2 linked regions of the Bombyx mori genome follow. The protein of the gene in region 1 binds, or shares a complex with, the protein of each later gene. Links are inferred from orthologs where the notes say so. Each region holds a gene or a part of one and is shown in the gene's direction. Other genes may lie near its edges.

Region 1 (8,770 bases):
ACCTGATGGTCCACCTGCCCCAGATCCGGGAGGAGCACCAGAACTACATATCCGAGCTGGCCCGGTACAGCAACGAGGTATCGTGTGGAGATATTGCACCTCAGGAGATTAAGCTGTCTTATCAGTAGAGATCTGAGTAGGTAGATTGATTTAAGGTCGTTGACGTCAAACGTAGAGGATAATATGGATATGCCCCCAAAATACCGGAACTTCATATTTATTCTGATATTTGTTCCGGAATTTTGAAATTAGCATGAATCTGTGTTTAAGGTGAAAAACGTATTAATAATATTAATCTGCACTACCAGTGCTAGCTAATGGTGAAAGAAATCAGTAATTTATTTTATACAAAAACACCTTGGAATATTTACCGTATTTTGTCCCTTTCCGTTGAATTAGAAATGACGCTTGTCAATATGAGACAAAACTTAGACACGGCTTTTTGTTACTTTATCTCATAAATACACGAATTGTATCCGATGAGGATTATTTTTTTTTTATTTTTAGTTTTATATATAATCATTATAGATAAAATGGCATGTCCATATTATAATATCTTGACGCAAGTATATAAAATCAATATACCTACACCGACCACTGCTTATCAGTGAGGCCGGTCATCATTCTCGTCGAACCCGTCGCTTGCGACGAAGGGCTCGACGAGTAAATTAACCCTCAGACACAGCACACTGAATTTCTCGCCGGATCTTCTCAGTGGGTTGCATTTCCGAGCCGGTGGTAGATTCTGCGAAGCACGGCTCTTGCTAGGGTTCGTGTTAGGAACGTCATTAGGTTTGAGCCCCGTGAGCTCACCTACTAGTTAAGGCAACGCTGATATAGCCTATCAAGGCTATCAGCTTAGGTAGGAAAAAAAAAACAGTGAGGCAACAAGAACATTCCCATGTCTGCGTGTTCCAGGTGACGACCACTTTCAAAGAGGCGGGTTCGGACTCCGAGAACAAGGCGGTGACGGAGCTCTGTCTGCGCGGCCTGCAGCTGCTGTCCTCCTGGTGCTCGGTGCTCACGGAGCTGTGCTCGTGGAAGCTGCTCCACCCGACGGACCACACCATCAACGCGCGGTGTCCCCCCGAAGCCGAGGAGTACGAGAGGGTGCGTTCTGTCCGTCCGTCCAATAGAGACGAAACGTTGCTTATATTATACTAAGTTATACTAATACTATATTATACCGGCACTATATTATACCGGCACTATATTATACCGGCACTATATTATACCGGCACTATATTATACCGGCACTATATTATACCGGCACTATATTATACTGGCACTATATTATTCAGCACTATATTATGCCAGTACTATATTATACCGGCACTATATTATACCGGCACTATATTATGCCAGCACTATATTATACCGGCACTATATTATACCGGCACTATATTATACCGGCACTATATTATACCGGCACTATATTATACCGGCACTATATTATACCGGCACTATATTATACCGGCACTATATTATACCGGCACTATATTATACCGGCACTATATTATACCGGCACTATATTATACCGGCACTATATTATACCGGCACTATATTATACCGGCACTATATTATACCGGCACTATATTATACCGGCACTATATTATACCGGCACTATATTATACCGGCACTATATTATACTGGCACTATATTATGCCAGCACTATATTATGCCAGTACTATATTATACCGGCACTATATTATACCGGCACTATATTATGCCAGCACTATATTATACCGGCACTATATTATACCGGCACTATATTATACCGGCACTATATTATACCGGCACTATATTATACCGGCACTATATTATACCGGCACTATATTATACCGGCACTATATTATACCGGCACTATATTATACCGGCACTATATTATACCGGCACTATATTATACCGGCACTATATTATACCGGCACTATATTATACCGGCACTATATTATACCGGCACTATATTATACCGGCACTATATTATACCGGCACTATATTATACTGGCACTATATTATGCCAGCACTATATTATGCCAGTACTATATTATACCGGCACTATATTATACCGGCACTATATTATGCCAGCACTATATTATACCGGCACTATATTATACCGGCACTATATTATACCGGCACTATATTATACCGGCACTATATTATACCGGCACTATATTATACCGGCACTATATTATACCGGCACTATATTATACCGGCACTATATTATACCGGCACTATATTATACCGGCACTATATTATACCGGCACTATATTATACTGGCACTATATTATGCCAGCACTATATTATGCCAGTACTATATTATACCGGCACTATATTATACCGGCACTATATTATGCCAGCACTATATTATACCAGCACTATATTATACCGGCACTATATTATACCGGCACTATATTATACCGGCACTATATTATACTGGCACTATATTATGCCAGCACTATATTATACTGGCACTATATTATGCCAGCACTATATTATGCCAGTACTATATTATACCGGCACTATATTATACTGGCACTATATTATGCCAGCACTATATTATACCAGCACTATATTATGCCAGCACTATATTATGCCAGTACTATATTATATCGGCACTATATTATACCGGCACTATAATAATACTATACCGGCACTATATCCTGGAGTATCCCTGCAACCTTCCGAGAGTATTGGGATACTTGGGGTCGACATTTCGAGCGATGTCCAATTTCGGAGTCATTTGGAAGGCAAAGCCAAGTTGGCGTCCAAAATGCTGGGAGTCCTCAACAGAGCGAAGCGGTACTTCACGTCTGGACAAAGGCTTTTGCTTTATAAAGCACAAGTCCGGCCTCGCGTGGAGTACTGCTCCCATCTCTGGGCCGGGGCTCCCAAATACCAGCTTCTTCCATTTGACTCCATACAGAGGAGGGCCGTTCGGATTGTCGATAATCCCGGTCTCACGGATCATTTGGAATCTCTGGGTCTGCGGAGGGACTTCGGTTCCCTCTGTATTTTGTACCGTATGTTCCATGGGGAGTGTTCTGAGGAATTGTTCGAGATGATACCGGCATCTCGTTTTTACCATCGCACCGCCCGCCACCGGAGTAGAGTTCATCCATACTACCTGGAGCCACTGCGGTCATCCACAGTGCATTTCCAGAGGTCTTTTTTGCCACGTACCATCCGGCTCTGGAATGAGCTCCCCTCCACGGTGTTTCCCGAGCGCTATGACATGTCCTTCTTCAAACGAGCCTTGTGGAGAGTATTAAGCGGTAGGCAGCGGCTTGGCTCTGCCCCTGGCATTGCTGAAGTCCATGGGCGACGGTAACCACTCACCATCAGGTGGGCCGTATGCTCGTCTGCCTACAAGGGCAATAAAAAAAAAATATTATACCGGCACCCTATTATACCGGCACTACTTTATACCGGCACTATATTATGCTAGCACTATATCTCATCAACACTATAAAATACTAATACCATGTTATATACATATATGACTTTGCCCAAGGCATGTCATTTATCATGATAAAGTAATCGTGCTATTTCAGGTTATTCAAGAATATTACAGCATTTTATCTTAAAACGTAGCATTCACTTCTGATGTCCATGGTCATCGGTAGTGATGACGCAACCGAATTCTAAGATCTTGGATTTAAGTACAGAATAGTACATAGAATTGAAATTTAGAACTCTTATCTCAATGTGGTTGACGGTATTCACGTTGACGATGTCCACGGGCCCCGGTACCCACTTATGCGACCTCAATATTGATGGTAGTAGGTAATATTACTGGTGGTAGGACCACCAGGTAGGTGGTAGGTTTAAAGGGTGGGGCGGCCGTTGTAACCATACTGAGATCTTTAGAACTTATATCTCATGTTGGGTGGCGCATTTACGTTGTAGATGTCCACGGGCCCCGGTACCCATTTAGGGGATCTCAATATTGAGTCGTCCCTGACCTCAAACCGTGTGTTCACAGGCGACGCGTTACAACTACACGTCCGAGGAGAAGTTCGCCATGATCGAGGTGATCGCGATGATAAAGGGCCTCCAGGTCCTGATGGCGCGGATGGAGACCGTGTTCGCGGACGCGGCCAGGAGGTCCATATACGCGGAGCTGCAGGACTTCGTGCAGCTCGTCCTGCGGGAGCCCCTGAGGAAGGCCATCAAGAACAAGAAGGACCTCATCCGGAGGTACCCCATTTGAAGTCCAATTGAGCGTAACGGATTGGCTTGTCATTGTCTTCTAAGTGGGTCGCGTTTCCGATCTGGTGGTAGATTCAGCGAAGCACTGCTCTTGCCAGGGCCAGTGTTAGCATCACTCCGGTTTGAGCCCCGTGAGCTCACCTACTATAGTAGAATTATTTTGTCCGTGCAGTTTGGGTCATGAAAAATCGGAGCGGTGAAGCGAATATTTCGCTCTCTCTTCCACTCACGAGCCTTATGGACGGGCATAGTGATGCGCATTACTGTTGTCGATAAGCGTTATCGATAGTGTATTTAGTTTTGTCATTTTGTGGGTTAGTGATAAAAATGAAAGAAAAAATCACTAATCAAACACTTACACCACATATCGCCGCAGCAAGTTAACGAGAACGGCAGAAATTAACACTTTGTAACTTTTCGGGATCTATTCTTATTTCAGTTAAAAATTTTAACACATTGTTGACAACAACACGTGCAAATATTATTTTGAATAAATCCTGCCGTTTTGATACAAAACAAAGGAGTAGCCATTGTGTCACTAAAGAAATTCAGAGAACGAATGCATAAAAACATATTTCTCTTCTACATAATGTACTATAATTTGCAGGTTTAGTACAAATGGCTCTTAACATAACAATGTCTCACCAGCCTTCGTATACCACCCCGCCGCCACCTGCCTTCGATGACTCATTTGTTTTTATCGATAATGGCGTTGCGCCCGCGCAACATGCTCACCGCCCTAGCCGGGCTGTGTTTTATGACCCAAACTGCACGGAAAAAATAATTCTACTATAGTTAAGGTTACGCTGAAATAGCCTCTCAACGCTATCAGCATAGATAGAGAAAAATAATATTAATAATAATAATAACATCTGTCAAACGGGACTTCTTAATTGGAATGGAGTATAGGTATGGAAACACAGTTATAAGTCTTCCACAGCATAATAGTGTCGGTTCGGGAGACGTGTGGTGACTGGGCGCGCGGCTGCGAGCCTCAGCAGGACCCGGCGCTCAAGGGGAAGAAGGACGGCGAAGCCAGCTTCACCATCAAGGTGCCCAGAAGGAATGTCGGTAAGGGGGGACCGGGGGACAGTGCTAAGCAAAATTTAATTGCAAGGTATAATTAAAACTAACAATTGATTTATTGTTAATTGTGACGTTTCAGTACTACTGGTTCAGTTTTACTGGTGGTAGGACCTCTTGTGAGTCCGCTTCGGTTTGAAGGGTGGGGCAGCCGTTGTAACTATACTTGAGACCTTAGAACTTATATCTCAAGGTGGGTGGCGCATTTGGTGAAACGCATTACTGCTTCACGGCAGAAATAGGCGGGGCGGTGGTACCTACCCGTGCGGACTCACAAGAGGTCTTACCACTGGTAAAAAATTTCGCATATAATATTAGTGAGATGTCGTGAATGCCTTGAGGCATGAGTCTTCGCAGTTGTGTCAACTTTCCAAAAAGGCAAGGACGACAGCTTCGCGGCAGAAGTAGGCAGAGTGCTGGTACTCATGCTGATACTCACCAATAATTAAATCTTCGAAGGTCCCTCATCGACCCAGCTCTACATGGTGAGAACGCAGCTTGAGGCCCTCATATCGGACAAGTCCGGAGGCCGGCGGACTCTTCGGAAAGACCTGGACGCAGCCACCCTGCATCAGATCGAAAGCTTCCACAGAACCAGCTTTTATTGGTCCTACCTGCTGAACTTACCTGGTGAGTCTAAATTGAGTATTTCTAGGATGGCGCCATTTTGTGATACGTCATTTGTGTGTTTAAAATTGTATAGCGTAGTTGGTCCAAAAATTTTGCAAAATTATGGATATCTATATGTAACTATACTGAAATTTTAGAACTTATATCTCAAGGTGGGTGAAGCATTTATTTTGTAGATGTCTATGGGCTCCAGTAACCACTTTACACCAGGTGGGCTGTGAGCTCGTTCGCCCATCTAAGCAATAAAAAAAAAACTTCGTTCGAGTTTAAATTTAAATTTAATCTAAACTATAGTCATTTTTAGGATATATTCAAGTAATAATGAAATCTACCGGCGCGTTTCCAAGATCTACTTACCGCTGGAACAGTAAATTAGAATTATTATAAATAAAATAATAAACAACTGGAAACAAATCACGCACTGTGATTCCGATTCCAATTTATGGGTATCAGAGACTGACATACATATTGAGTCAGACATTATTGACTATAATAAATTATGTTCCTTTATTGATCCGGATACTAATAAACTGAACACAAACAGCCCGCAATGTAAGCGGACTAACGCGAGGTCGTCGACCCCGCGTGTGTTCACCTATATTTGCATTACATTACTTGCTGCGTGAAAACATCACTAAGTTATACGTTCTACGGTGATTCTGTTGAATGTGTGTCGCCGTTTTCGAGGGCGGATCGCTTACAGTCGTATGTGTACCGCGCTTGATATTCATTGTGTCCTCGCAGATTCCCTGCAGAAGTGCTGCGATCTGTCTCAACTCTGGTATAGAGAGTTTTATCTCGAAATGACAATGGGAAAGAAAGTTAATGTGAGTATTAGTATTTATGTACCTACCCTACTTTGTTGCTGTTTTTTTTTAATTACTCTTATAGGCAGACGAGTATAGAGTCCACATGACGATAAGTGGCTACTGTCGCTCTTGGACCTCAGCAATGCCAGGGGCACAGCTAAGCCAGATAGGCTAAGGCAAAAAAGATCTCTGGAAACGCAATGTGGGTGAACGCAGTGGCTTTAGGTGGTATGGATGAACTCTGCATCTGGTAGGAGCACCTGTGATGGAAACAGGTGATGCGAGGGATCATCTCAAATAATCCTCAGAGCACTGTCCATGGTACCCACGGTACAGAACACAAAAATGAATCCGAAGGCCCTTCGTTAGACCTAGACTTTTCAAACAGGGCTATCGTCAATCTGTAGGATCCTCTTCTGGATGTCAAATGGAAACAGCTGAATTCAGCTGACGCTTGGGAGCCTCTGTCCTCAGATGGGAGTAGTACTCCATGCGAGGCTGGTTCTGTGCTTTGTAAAGTAAATATCTTTGAACAAACGTGAAGTACCGCTTCATTCTGTTGAGTTTTCTGAGTAAACAGCCGATCTGGTTTTAAGTGACTACCGCGGTCCATGGACCAAACTTGTTATACTGCCACCCTAACAGTTGCCTTTCGTTAATTCGCCATATAGGATTAGGAAGGACAATAAAGTATGAATTAAAATTTTAAAAAAAATCTATCTACCCTCACAGAAATGCATGGTGCGTCATCAGCACAACGAGGAGTGCAACGACCTGGTCACGATGGAGAAGCGGATACAGTTCCCCATCGAGATGTCCATGCCATGGATATTGACCGAGCACATATTAAGGACCAAAGAACCGGCGATGATGGAGTTAGTGGTCTTTCAATGTATCTTTTTATGTATTGTAGTTTAGTGTATATTTTTAATTATTTTAGTGAATCTTTTTGAAGTAGTTCTGTTTTTAACTTTACCTTTTTTATGTATTATTTTTGATTACTTTAATGTATCTTTTTATGTAGCTCTTTAATTTTTTTAACTTTCCTTTTATCTTTTCAAAGTGGAATATTTTATAAAAAAAAATTGTCACCAAAAAAAATGGTACCCCAATAAAAACATTAATGTGTAATATCCTCAGATACGTCCTGTACCCGCTGGACCTGTACAACGACTCGGCCCAGTACGCGCTGACCGTCTTCAAGAAGCAGTTCCTCTACGACGAGGTGGAGGCGGAAGTCAACCTCTGCTTCGATCAGTTCGTGTACAAGCTCTCCGAGCAGGTCTACGCGTACTACAAGCAGCTGGCCGCGAGGTCAGTGCGGGGACCGGGGGGGGGTGGACCCCCGTGGTTGGGTTACGTCATTTGTGGTCAAAACTTAGGAGCTAAACATAAGATATATATATTTTTAATACGTTTTAATTAGCTTTAGATGTACGTTAGTATGTAACTGAATTTTTTAACATGATTTCGACTACCTTCAAAATGTCGTATTAACTCGAAATTTGGTATACTTATTAGGGATCGATGACAATTCAATATTTAAAAAAAATATGAAAAAAAAAATATTGAAAAAATTGAAATTCAACTAAAAAATGAAAAATAAATAATAGTAAAAAAAAACTAACAAAATACGCTTTTATAGAAAATCCAACTAAAAAATAGAAAATAAATTTTAATAAATTTGAATTAAAAATTGTGTAAGAAAATATGATTTTATTGTAAAAAAGTGTAGGGTGCTTTTCAGGATATTATCAAAATAACCCTTCTACTCATATCTGTTCATAAAATATTTATAACTACTGATACCATGCACCCCACGCTTTTTTACAATAAAATCATTATTTCTTACACTATTTTTAATTTAAATTTATTAAAATATTTTCTATTTTTTAGTTGGATTTTGTATAAAAACGTATTTTGCTAATTTTTTTAAACTATTATTTATTTTCAAGTGTTTTTGTAATGGTTAAACTGAATTATATTTTAATGACATGTATCATAATAAATTGAAGACATGAGCGGTTGAAGGTAGATAT
Region 2 (9,240 bases), on another chromosome or scaffold:
GATGATAGGAGCAATGGTCCTCCACTGAGTTGGCATCAATTTGGCCAAGTGCAACAACTTCTCGTCCTCTTCTCGGGACCATTCTGTTTTCTTTATACTTGGATCTAACCACTCGTACCAACGGGCTTTACATTGTTTTGCAGATTTACGATGGAGCAACGAAGCTATACGAGACCACTGATTTTTCCCATATTTCATTACAGCCGCTTTAAGGATTTCATCCTAAAGTGACACACAAATAACATTAGTATTAAGGAATCATAAGAAAGTATTAATAAAGAATACAAAATAGTAAAATAACAAACCTCGGTGTTGCGCCAAACGCCACCTTTTATCATAATCCGGGGCATGTTGGATAGTGTTTATTCAGCTTATAAATAAATGAAATCAATTAAATTTGAATAACTACTACTTAAATATGCAATAATTTTCATTAAAACGTCTCCATTTAGCGAAAATTTAATAAATTGAGATGTAAGGATAAATCAATGAAATCTAAATTCTATAATCCATCGACATTTTTTTTTGTACAAATTTTCCTTATTAGGAAAGGCAAGGGGATCTAAGCCCATATAGCCTTTAATCCATAGACAATACATACACAAGATATAGGTAAAATAAAAATTTCAATATATATATTTTTTATTTTATGACCTAACGTAACATAGACCTTTAGGTCATATCTTATTTGTTAAACTATACAGGGTGTGTGAGAACTCAACGTCAAGCCGAAACGGGGTGACAGGATTGATTGTAACCATCATGAGAAAAATCAGAAAAAAAATCTATCCCATCCAGTTTGGAAATTATGGCCATTAAAAACCTAGAAATTTGGTCAAACTTTAACCATTTTTCGGTTATTGTGGTTAATTTTTGTTATTTTTGTTCATTTAAACTTTGGAACCGTAACCCTACATAACATTTCTAGAACCGCACTCAAAAATAATGACACAACTGCCCCAAGTTTTCTCATATGAAGTCGTCGTCGCCTAAAGGATAAGACGTCCAGTGCATTCGTGTTGAGCGATGCACCGGTGTTCAAATCTCAGGCGGGTACCAATTTTTCTAAAGAAATACGTACTCAACAAATGTTCACGATTGACTTCCACGGTGAAGGAATAACATCGTGTAATAAAAATAAAAGCCGCATAATTATAATTTGCGTAATTACTGGTGTTAGGACCTCTTGTGAATCCGCACGGGTAGGTACCTCCGCCCTGTCTATTTCTGCCCTGAAGCAGTAATGCGTTTCAGTTTGAAGGGCTGGGCAGCCGTTGTAACTATACTCGAGACCTTAGAACTTGTATCTCAAGGTGGGTGGCGCATTTACGTTGTGGATGTCTATGGGCTCCAGTAACCACTTAACACCAGGTGGGCTGTGAGCTCGTCCAACCATCTAAGCCAAAAAAAAAAAGAAAAAAAAAGCCATCATGAGAAAAATCAGAAGAAAAAAATGTGTGTGTGCATGTCACACACATTACGTGTGACACGGTAGAAGTGAAACTTATAAAAATTAAAATAATCGCAAGAATCAACCAACCCGCAGTGCAATGGAGCAGCCTCACCCTGTGGAAACCGCCTGCATAATCACGGTATCCCTACGCCAGGTAAGTATGATTTAGCTTTTTTTTTCCTACCTAAGCTGATAGCCTTGCGAGGCTATTTCAGCAGAACCTTAACTAGTAGGTGAACTCACGGGGCTCAAATCTGACGACGTTGCTAACACGAACTCTAGCAAGAGCCGTGCTTCGCAGAATCTACCACCGGATCGGAAACGCAACCCACTGAGAAGATCCGGCGAGAAACTCAGTGGGCTGTGTCTGAGGGTTAATTTACTCGACGAGCCCTTCCTCGCAAGCGACGGGTTCGACGGGAACGGTGATCGGTGCTTGAGGTACCTAAAAGCACCGTTAGTGGATCGGGAGGATCCGAAATGACGTGTTTGGGGTGATGTCGACTGCTTTCCATTCTTTTGATTTAGCAAGAGAAATACGAGAACATCTATCAACTGTGTGACATCTTATGACCGTGATTCAGGAATTGTTGAATTTACGTGTAGGGACATTTGCTGATAACAAACGCATGGTTACAATCAATCCTGTCACCCCGATTCGGCTAGATGTTGAGTTCTGGGACACTCTGTATATGACACAAACTTCTGTAGACTATACACAAACCATAAACATTTTTTGTACTCCTGTCCTACCTGAAGTCTCAGTAACACACATTACAAGATTTCTCCTCATGTCATCTGATTTTAATGGAATTAAATTCTTTTATTTCATAAAATTTCATCCCTTTTGATTACCATTTACAGATGAAACAACTTCTTTTAGTCCGCTTCATTTCATTCTTCTTGAAAAAAGTTAAATGTGTCACGTTAAAATTGCAGACTATTTATACTCGACGCCAGTAATAATGGTATCGAAAACGTCCTTACGCATTTAACAGATACATTAACTCTAGCATTAAGCCCCTTCAATTCTAATTAGCACTGGGAGCAGCTTAAGTGCTCTACCGACTGGTCAAACTCGGCAGAGAGTTCGGCGTGCAACCCAACCGCCCCAGCCCGCTGAGTTTCTTGTCGAGTCTTCTCAGGGAGCCGCGATTTCAATGCGGTAGTAGATTCATTCGCGAAGTAGTTGTCTTTGATTTGTTAAGTCTCCTCCGGAGGCGCTCGGGCAGCTGTTAGCAAATCCCATCATTCTTGGTTAAGTCTGTGGTCACCCACATGTCTTGGTAAAACTGGAAACGCCTCCGGGCCACCAGTAGTACTTCCTTCCCAAAAAAGGCATCGCAAGAAGGCGATTGCCTTACGGAAAAAATATAGCCGACGAGAGTAGTAATCTGTGTGAGTGAGACAAGATACAATTATAGTGGACTTTTTGGCGGGAACGCGAGGAGTGAAGTTGTGTGATTTGTTTTATTTTGTCTATTTAGTGTTTCTTCAGGTTTAAATGTGTAATAATGGTGGTTTATTAACTGTTTAATATCTGTGAAAGTGCACAAATGTGGGAAAATGAAACAAAGCCGCTGGACGTAACTTCTCGGGATCCTCCAAAAAGTCCACTGAAATAATCTTAGTAAATGACCACCATTTTACTGAGATTATATTTCATCCCATATCATCTCATCTCATTTCATTTAATTTCGTTTAATATCTGTGAAAGTGCACAAATGTGGGAAAATGAAACAAAGCCGCTGGACGTAACTTCTCGGGATCCTCCAAAAAGTCCACTGAAATAATCTTAGTAAATGACCACCATTTTACTGAGATTATATTTCATCCCATATCATCTCATCTCATTTCATTTAATTTCATCCCAGTTGATTAATGTCTCAAAAAAACTTTTTCATTTCATTTCACTGCATAATATCATTTTTCATAAAAATATATTATAAATTAAAATAAGACATGACTTAAAAGTCTTAGTTACCAGGTCATAAAATCCCTTAAAAAAAATACAATTATAGTGGTGACTTTTTGGCGGGAACGCAAGGAGTGAAGTTGTGTGAATTGTTTTATTTTCTCTATTTAATGTTTCTTCAGGTTTATATATTATTATGTAATAATGAAATTAATGAAAATGAAATAAAGCCGCTGGAGGTAACTTCGAGGGATCCTCCAAAAAGTCCACTGAAAAAATTTCAGTAAATGACCACCATTTTACTGAAATTATATTGCATCCCATATCATTTCATTTAATTTCATCCCCGTTATTTAATGTCTCAAGTTAGTCATCTTGATTTCCTTTCACTCCATATTATCAATTTTCATATGTAAAATTAAGAATATAAATTAAAATAAGACATGACCTAAAGGTCTTAGTTACCAGGTCATAAAATCCCTTAAAAATAATCTATGTTAAACAGTCTGTTGTGGTCATAGATTATACACTTAATATGTTGTGGTCTGACACTCCCTAATTTTAATTTATTGAGAGATTTTTTACGTCCAACATAGATAGTTTGAATATAGTGTACACAGAAACATGTGTATTAGTTGACTTCTAGATAAAGTGACTCGCTACATTATTAGCAAGGTACGGCTCGCGCGGTTATTAACATAAAACATTATCTGGTCTTGTTAGATATCTTGACTTAGTAAATCATGATCTCACATCATTGATCATCTTCTCGAATGAATACAGCAACAATTTGTTATTCCCCTTTGAACGGAAATCCTAAGTTGTGTAATTCTAATAGATAGGAAATAACATTATTGTATTATCATTATCTTTCATAGTTGTGAATCCGCGTACCTTTTTATTGCAGAAATATGTCCACATTATCAAGATCCCTGAATATTAGTCAGCAAAAATTAGCTGAGAAGCTAATTATACTGAATGACAGAGGTATTGGTATTTTAACAAGAGTTTACAACATTAAGAAAGCCTGTGGAGATGCCAAATCGAAACCAGCATTTCTATCTGATAAAGCATTGGAGTCATCAATTAAGCACATAGTTAGGAGATTTCCCAACATTGACGTTAAAGGACTCCAAGCAATTACACCAATACGGAATGAAGTAATCAAATCATTGTCGCTATATTATTACACATTTGTAGATTTGTTAGATTTTAAAGACAATGTTTGTGAACTTCTTAACATCATAGATGCATGTCAGGTTACTTTAGACTTGACATTGAATTTTGAATTGACAAAAAACTATCTTGACTTGGTTTTAACATATGTTACACTAATGATATTGTTGTCTCGAGTTGAAGATAGAAAAGCAGTGTTAGGTTTATTTAATGCTGCATATGAATTGCTACAGAATCAAATTGAGAATAGTTTTCCCCGTTTGGGACAGTTGATTGTTGATTATGATGCTCCATTGAAGAAATTGTCTGAAGAATTTGTGCCACATCAAAAAGTACTAGCAAGTGCATTAAATTCTCTATGGCATGTGTATCCAGCTAGAAATCTTTCTGCTGAACATTGGAGATCGGAGCAAAAGCTAAGCTTAGTCAGTAATCCAGCTCAGTTACTGAAACCATCAGAAACAAACACAATGTCTTGTGAGTATGTATCATTGGAGTCTTTGGAGAGGTGGGTCATATTTGGTTTTGCACTCTGTCATCAGATGCTCCAGCAGGACCATGCTAATAAAATGTGGGTCAATGCACTAGAGTCAGGATGGGTTGTGGCATTATTTAGAGATGAAGTGATTTACATTCACAGCTATATACAAGGTTTCTTTGACAGCATAAAAGGCTATGGCAAAAGAATATCTGAAGTAAAAGATTGTTACCATCATGCAGTACAAAAAGCAGGATACAAACACAGAGAGAGGAGAAAATTCTTAAGAACAGCTTTGAAAGAACTGGGTCTAATATTGACTGATCAACCAGGATTATTGGGCCCAAAAGCTCTTTTGATTTTCATTGGCCTCTGCTATGCAAGAGATGAAGTATTTTGGCTGTTGCGACATAATGATAACCCACCACAAAAAGTGAAGGGAAAATCTGCAGAAGATTTGGTAGACCGTCAACTTCCTGAACTTTTGTTCCACATGGAAGAATTAAGAGCATTGGTTCGTAAATATAGTCAGGTAATGCAGAGATACTATGTGCAATACCTTTCAGGCTTTGATGCTGTAGCATTGAACATGATGATTCAGAACTTGAAGGTATGTCCTGAAGACGAAAGTATAATATTATCATCTTTATGTACTACTGCAGCAAATTTGAGTGTCAAACAGGTTGAAGAGAATGAGCCATTTGATTTTCGATCATTCCGTTTAGATTGGTTCAGACTTCAAGCATATACATCTGTTGTCAAAACCCCCTTGAGTCTTGTTGATCAAAGGGAACTGGCTCAGTTTATAGACAAAATGGTATTCCATACTAAAATGGTAGATAACCTTGATGAAATAATGGTTGAAACATCTGATCTGTCAATATTTTGCTTTTACAACAAAATATTTGAAAATCAGTTCCATATGTGTCTTGAGTTCCCTGCACAAAATCGGTATATTATAGCATTCCCGCTTATTTGTAGTCATTTCCAAAATTGTACTCATGAACTATGCCCTGAAGAGAGGCATCACATTCTAGAGAGAAGTTTGTCAGTAGTCAACATATTCTTGGATGAAATGGCAAAAGAAGCAAAAAACATTATCACCACTATATGTGATGAACAGTGTACTATGAGTGATAAATTACTACCCAAACATTGTGCACAAACTATAGCTCATTTAGCTAACAGAAAAAAGAAGGATAAAAATAAGAAAAACACAATTGAAATTGTTAAGCCTGGAGCAGAAAGTTACAGAAAAACCAGAGAAGAATTGACAACCATGGACAAACTTCACATGGCTTTGACAGAATTATGCTATGCTATAAATTATTGTTCCACTGTAAATGTTTGGGAGTATACTTTTGCACCACGAGAGTACTTGCACCAACATTTGGAAACTAGATTCTCTAAGGCCTTGGTTGGCATGGTAATGTTTAACCAAGACACAAGTGAAATTGCTAAGCCTTCTGAGTTGCTTGTTAGTGTTCGTGCATATATGAATGTGCTTCAAACTGTTGAAAATTACGTTCATATTGATATTACACGAGTTTTCAATAATTGTCTTTTACAACAAACTCAAAATATGGATAGTCATAAAGAAAAAACCATTGCATCATTGTATACACAGTGGTACTCTGAGATTTTACTGAGACGGGTCAGTGCTGGTAGTATTTGTTTTTCAATGAGTCAAAAAGCATTTGTTAGTTTGACAGCCGAAGGTGCTATACCCTTCAATGCCGAGGAATATTCTGATATTAATGAGTTGAGGGCATTAGCTGAATTAATTGGGCCCTATGGTATGAAACTGTTAAGTGAAACACTAATGTGGCAAATTGCAAGTCAAGTACAGGAATTGAAGAAACTGGTTGTACAAAATAAAGAGGTGTTGCAGATGCTCAGGACTAATTTTGATAAACCAGAAATTATGAGAGAGCAGTTCAAAAGATTGCAAAATGTGGATAATGTACTACAACGGATGACCATAATTGGAGTCATATTGAGTTTCAGACAAATAGCTCAAGAGTCATTACTAGATGTTTTAGAAAGGCGTATTCCATTTTTGATAAGTTCCATAAAAGACTTCCAGCAACAGCTGCCGAGTGGTGATCCAATGCGAGTCATTTCAGAAATGTGTTCTGCTGCTGGCTTACCGTGCAAAGTGGATCCAACATTGGCATCAGCTTTACGTCAGCAAAAATCAGAAGTTGAGGAGGAAGAGCATTTAATTGTATGCTTGCTAATGGTGTTTGTTGCTGTGTCTTTGCCTAGACTAGCTCGGAGTGAAGTATCTTTCTATCGACCTTCCCTGGAAGGTCATGCTAACAATATACACTGTATAGCTCCAGCTATCAACCACATATTCGGAGCTCTATTCACTATATGCGGCCAGGGCGATATCGAGGATCGAATGAAAGAATTCTTAGCTTTAGCGTCATCATCTTTGCTTCGTTTAGGGCAAGAAACTGATAAAGAAGCTACTAAGAATAGGGAATCAGTTTATCTTCTATTAGACTTGATAGTGCAGGAGTCACCCTTTCTTACAATGGATTTGTTGGAGTCATGTTTTCCATATGTATTGATACGTAATGCTTATCATGAAGTTTATAAACAAGAGCAGATGCTTCTGCATATGTAATTCCATTGTATTTAAAGACAAATTAAGTTTTAGCATTAAGTATTACTGTAATTAGGTTTAAAGATATACTATTAAAATTCAGGGTGTAAGGGATCAGTTTCTGAATCAAAAAGGGCAAGAAACTAGTACCTTAATGGAAATTAAAAACAATAATTATCCACTAAAAACTTAATATAAAGTAAACATCTTGACAAAAGTGCTGGTAGATTTTGACATATCTATATGTAAAGGTGAATATCACAAGAAACACTGTTCCCTTCCATCAGTTTATTTGACTGAAATAGCAGTAAAGGAATAAATGTTTGGATTTTGCACCAGCCTTCGTTTTTGGGAAAGATTCCATACACCCTGTATAAATACAAGCACGGACGCACTTTGAGATTATTGATAAGTACTATTATCCGGTTTTTATTGTGCTTCAGCCTAATTATTTTCACGAAAATCACTTGACATTTAAGACTGGAAAATATTCCTTGTATTGAAAGCTAACATATTTAGAGAATATTTTATTTATTAGCCTTAGGAAGCTAGATATCGATCAGCGAATATTCCACTTATGTTATTAATTTAAGTACCGTTAACTTCTCATGTAAAATTTTCATAAATTTTTAATATGTTTATGTAGCGGTAGTTGCAATGTATTGAATAATTGTAAGAATATTCAGCAAGTCGATATGAGAGGAAAAAATAGTAATGAAGTATATTTGTAAATACATAACAAACTAAACACAAACAGATCATAGGACTATGGTGTAAAATAAAATAATACCAATTCTTGTCTATTCCTTTAAGTACATAGCAAAATTTTCATGACAAAGTTTAAGTTTTATATGGTCAAGAACATGCTTTCTGCCTAATATTAAAAGTAAAATACATACTTATCCTTTTTGATCTCTTCAAGATACACAGAAACTTCCATGATTGCATCGCATGGATAGGCATTAGTCTGTCTATATGTCGACTATATTACATAAGTCTTGGGAAGCGATGTGGCTAGTCAGGAAATTCAGAAATGCAGGAATTTTGGTACATGATTGAGACTTGAATATTTTCTCCAGCTTTCCTGGTTTATTATATATTCTATGCAAGATTACTACTAGTAGGCCTAGGTAATCGACACTCTTGTTTAGTCCTTATAAATTCTAAGTTGATTTATTTTATTCCATAGCAACACAATGGCGATAAGCATTTATAGTATCAAAGAAATTGAAATTGTTGCTTGCAAAAAAAATTAGGAAGCTCGACTGTAGCCATTGTAGTAATTTTTTTAGTTTTAACTTTTAATAGATATATACCTAATGTTTTTGTGCTTTTTATCATAAAATTGTTTTATCTTATTTTTATTCATTGTAATTTACCAAAGTAAAAAAGGCAATTCTAATGTAATGTCAAATGAAATAGTTGAAGATTTAGTTATATAATTGAGCATTCTTTTAGACTTCCTTCAGAATATAAATTATTATCAGAGTAGTAGTACAAAAAGGAAAGATGTAAACCCACTGAAACAGAAATTGTTGACGTTCGATTTTTGTAATATCGTTGATACTTTTGTACCTTATATTTCAATTTATTATTATACTATA

What was found.
Region 2: cytoplasmic FMR1-interacting protein (region 1) and membrane-associated protein Hem share a complex: the UniProt entries of both Drosophila melanogaster proteins name them as parts of the WAVE complex. The link is inferred for Bombyx mori from reciprocal best matches to the Drosophila melanogaster genes Cyfip and Hem.

The regions. Positions count from the first base shown.
Region 1 is NC_085117.1:1,820,989-1,829,758, reverse strand, and holds part of cytoplasmic FMR1-interacting protein, read left to right. Parts: coding exon 1-77; intron 78-918; coding exon 919-1,110; intron 1,111-3,982; coding exon 3,983-4,197; intron 4,198-5,149; coding exon 5,150-5,280; intron 5,281-5,751; coding exon 5,752-5,922; intron 5,923-6,666; coding exon 6,667-6,749; intron 6,750-7,463; coding exon 7,464-7,606; intron 7,607-7,871; coding exon 7,872-8,045; intron 8,046-8,770. UniProt on the Drosophila melanogaster protein: Plays a role in guidance and morphology of central and peripheral axons and in synaptic morphology. Also required for formation of cell membrane protrusions and for bristle development.
Region 2 is NC_085115.1:11,704,651-11,713,890, reverse strand, and holds the start of membrane-associated protein Hem, read left to right. Parts: upstream 1-3,875; 5' UTR 3,876-4,043; intron 4,044-4,275; 5' UTR 4,276-4,279; coding exon 4,280-7,657; 3' UTR 7,658-9,240. Other genes in the region: cell division cycle 5-like protein, read right to left, coding at 1-222, 306-350. UniProt on the Drosophila melanogaster protein: Plays a role during growth of the oocyte.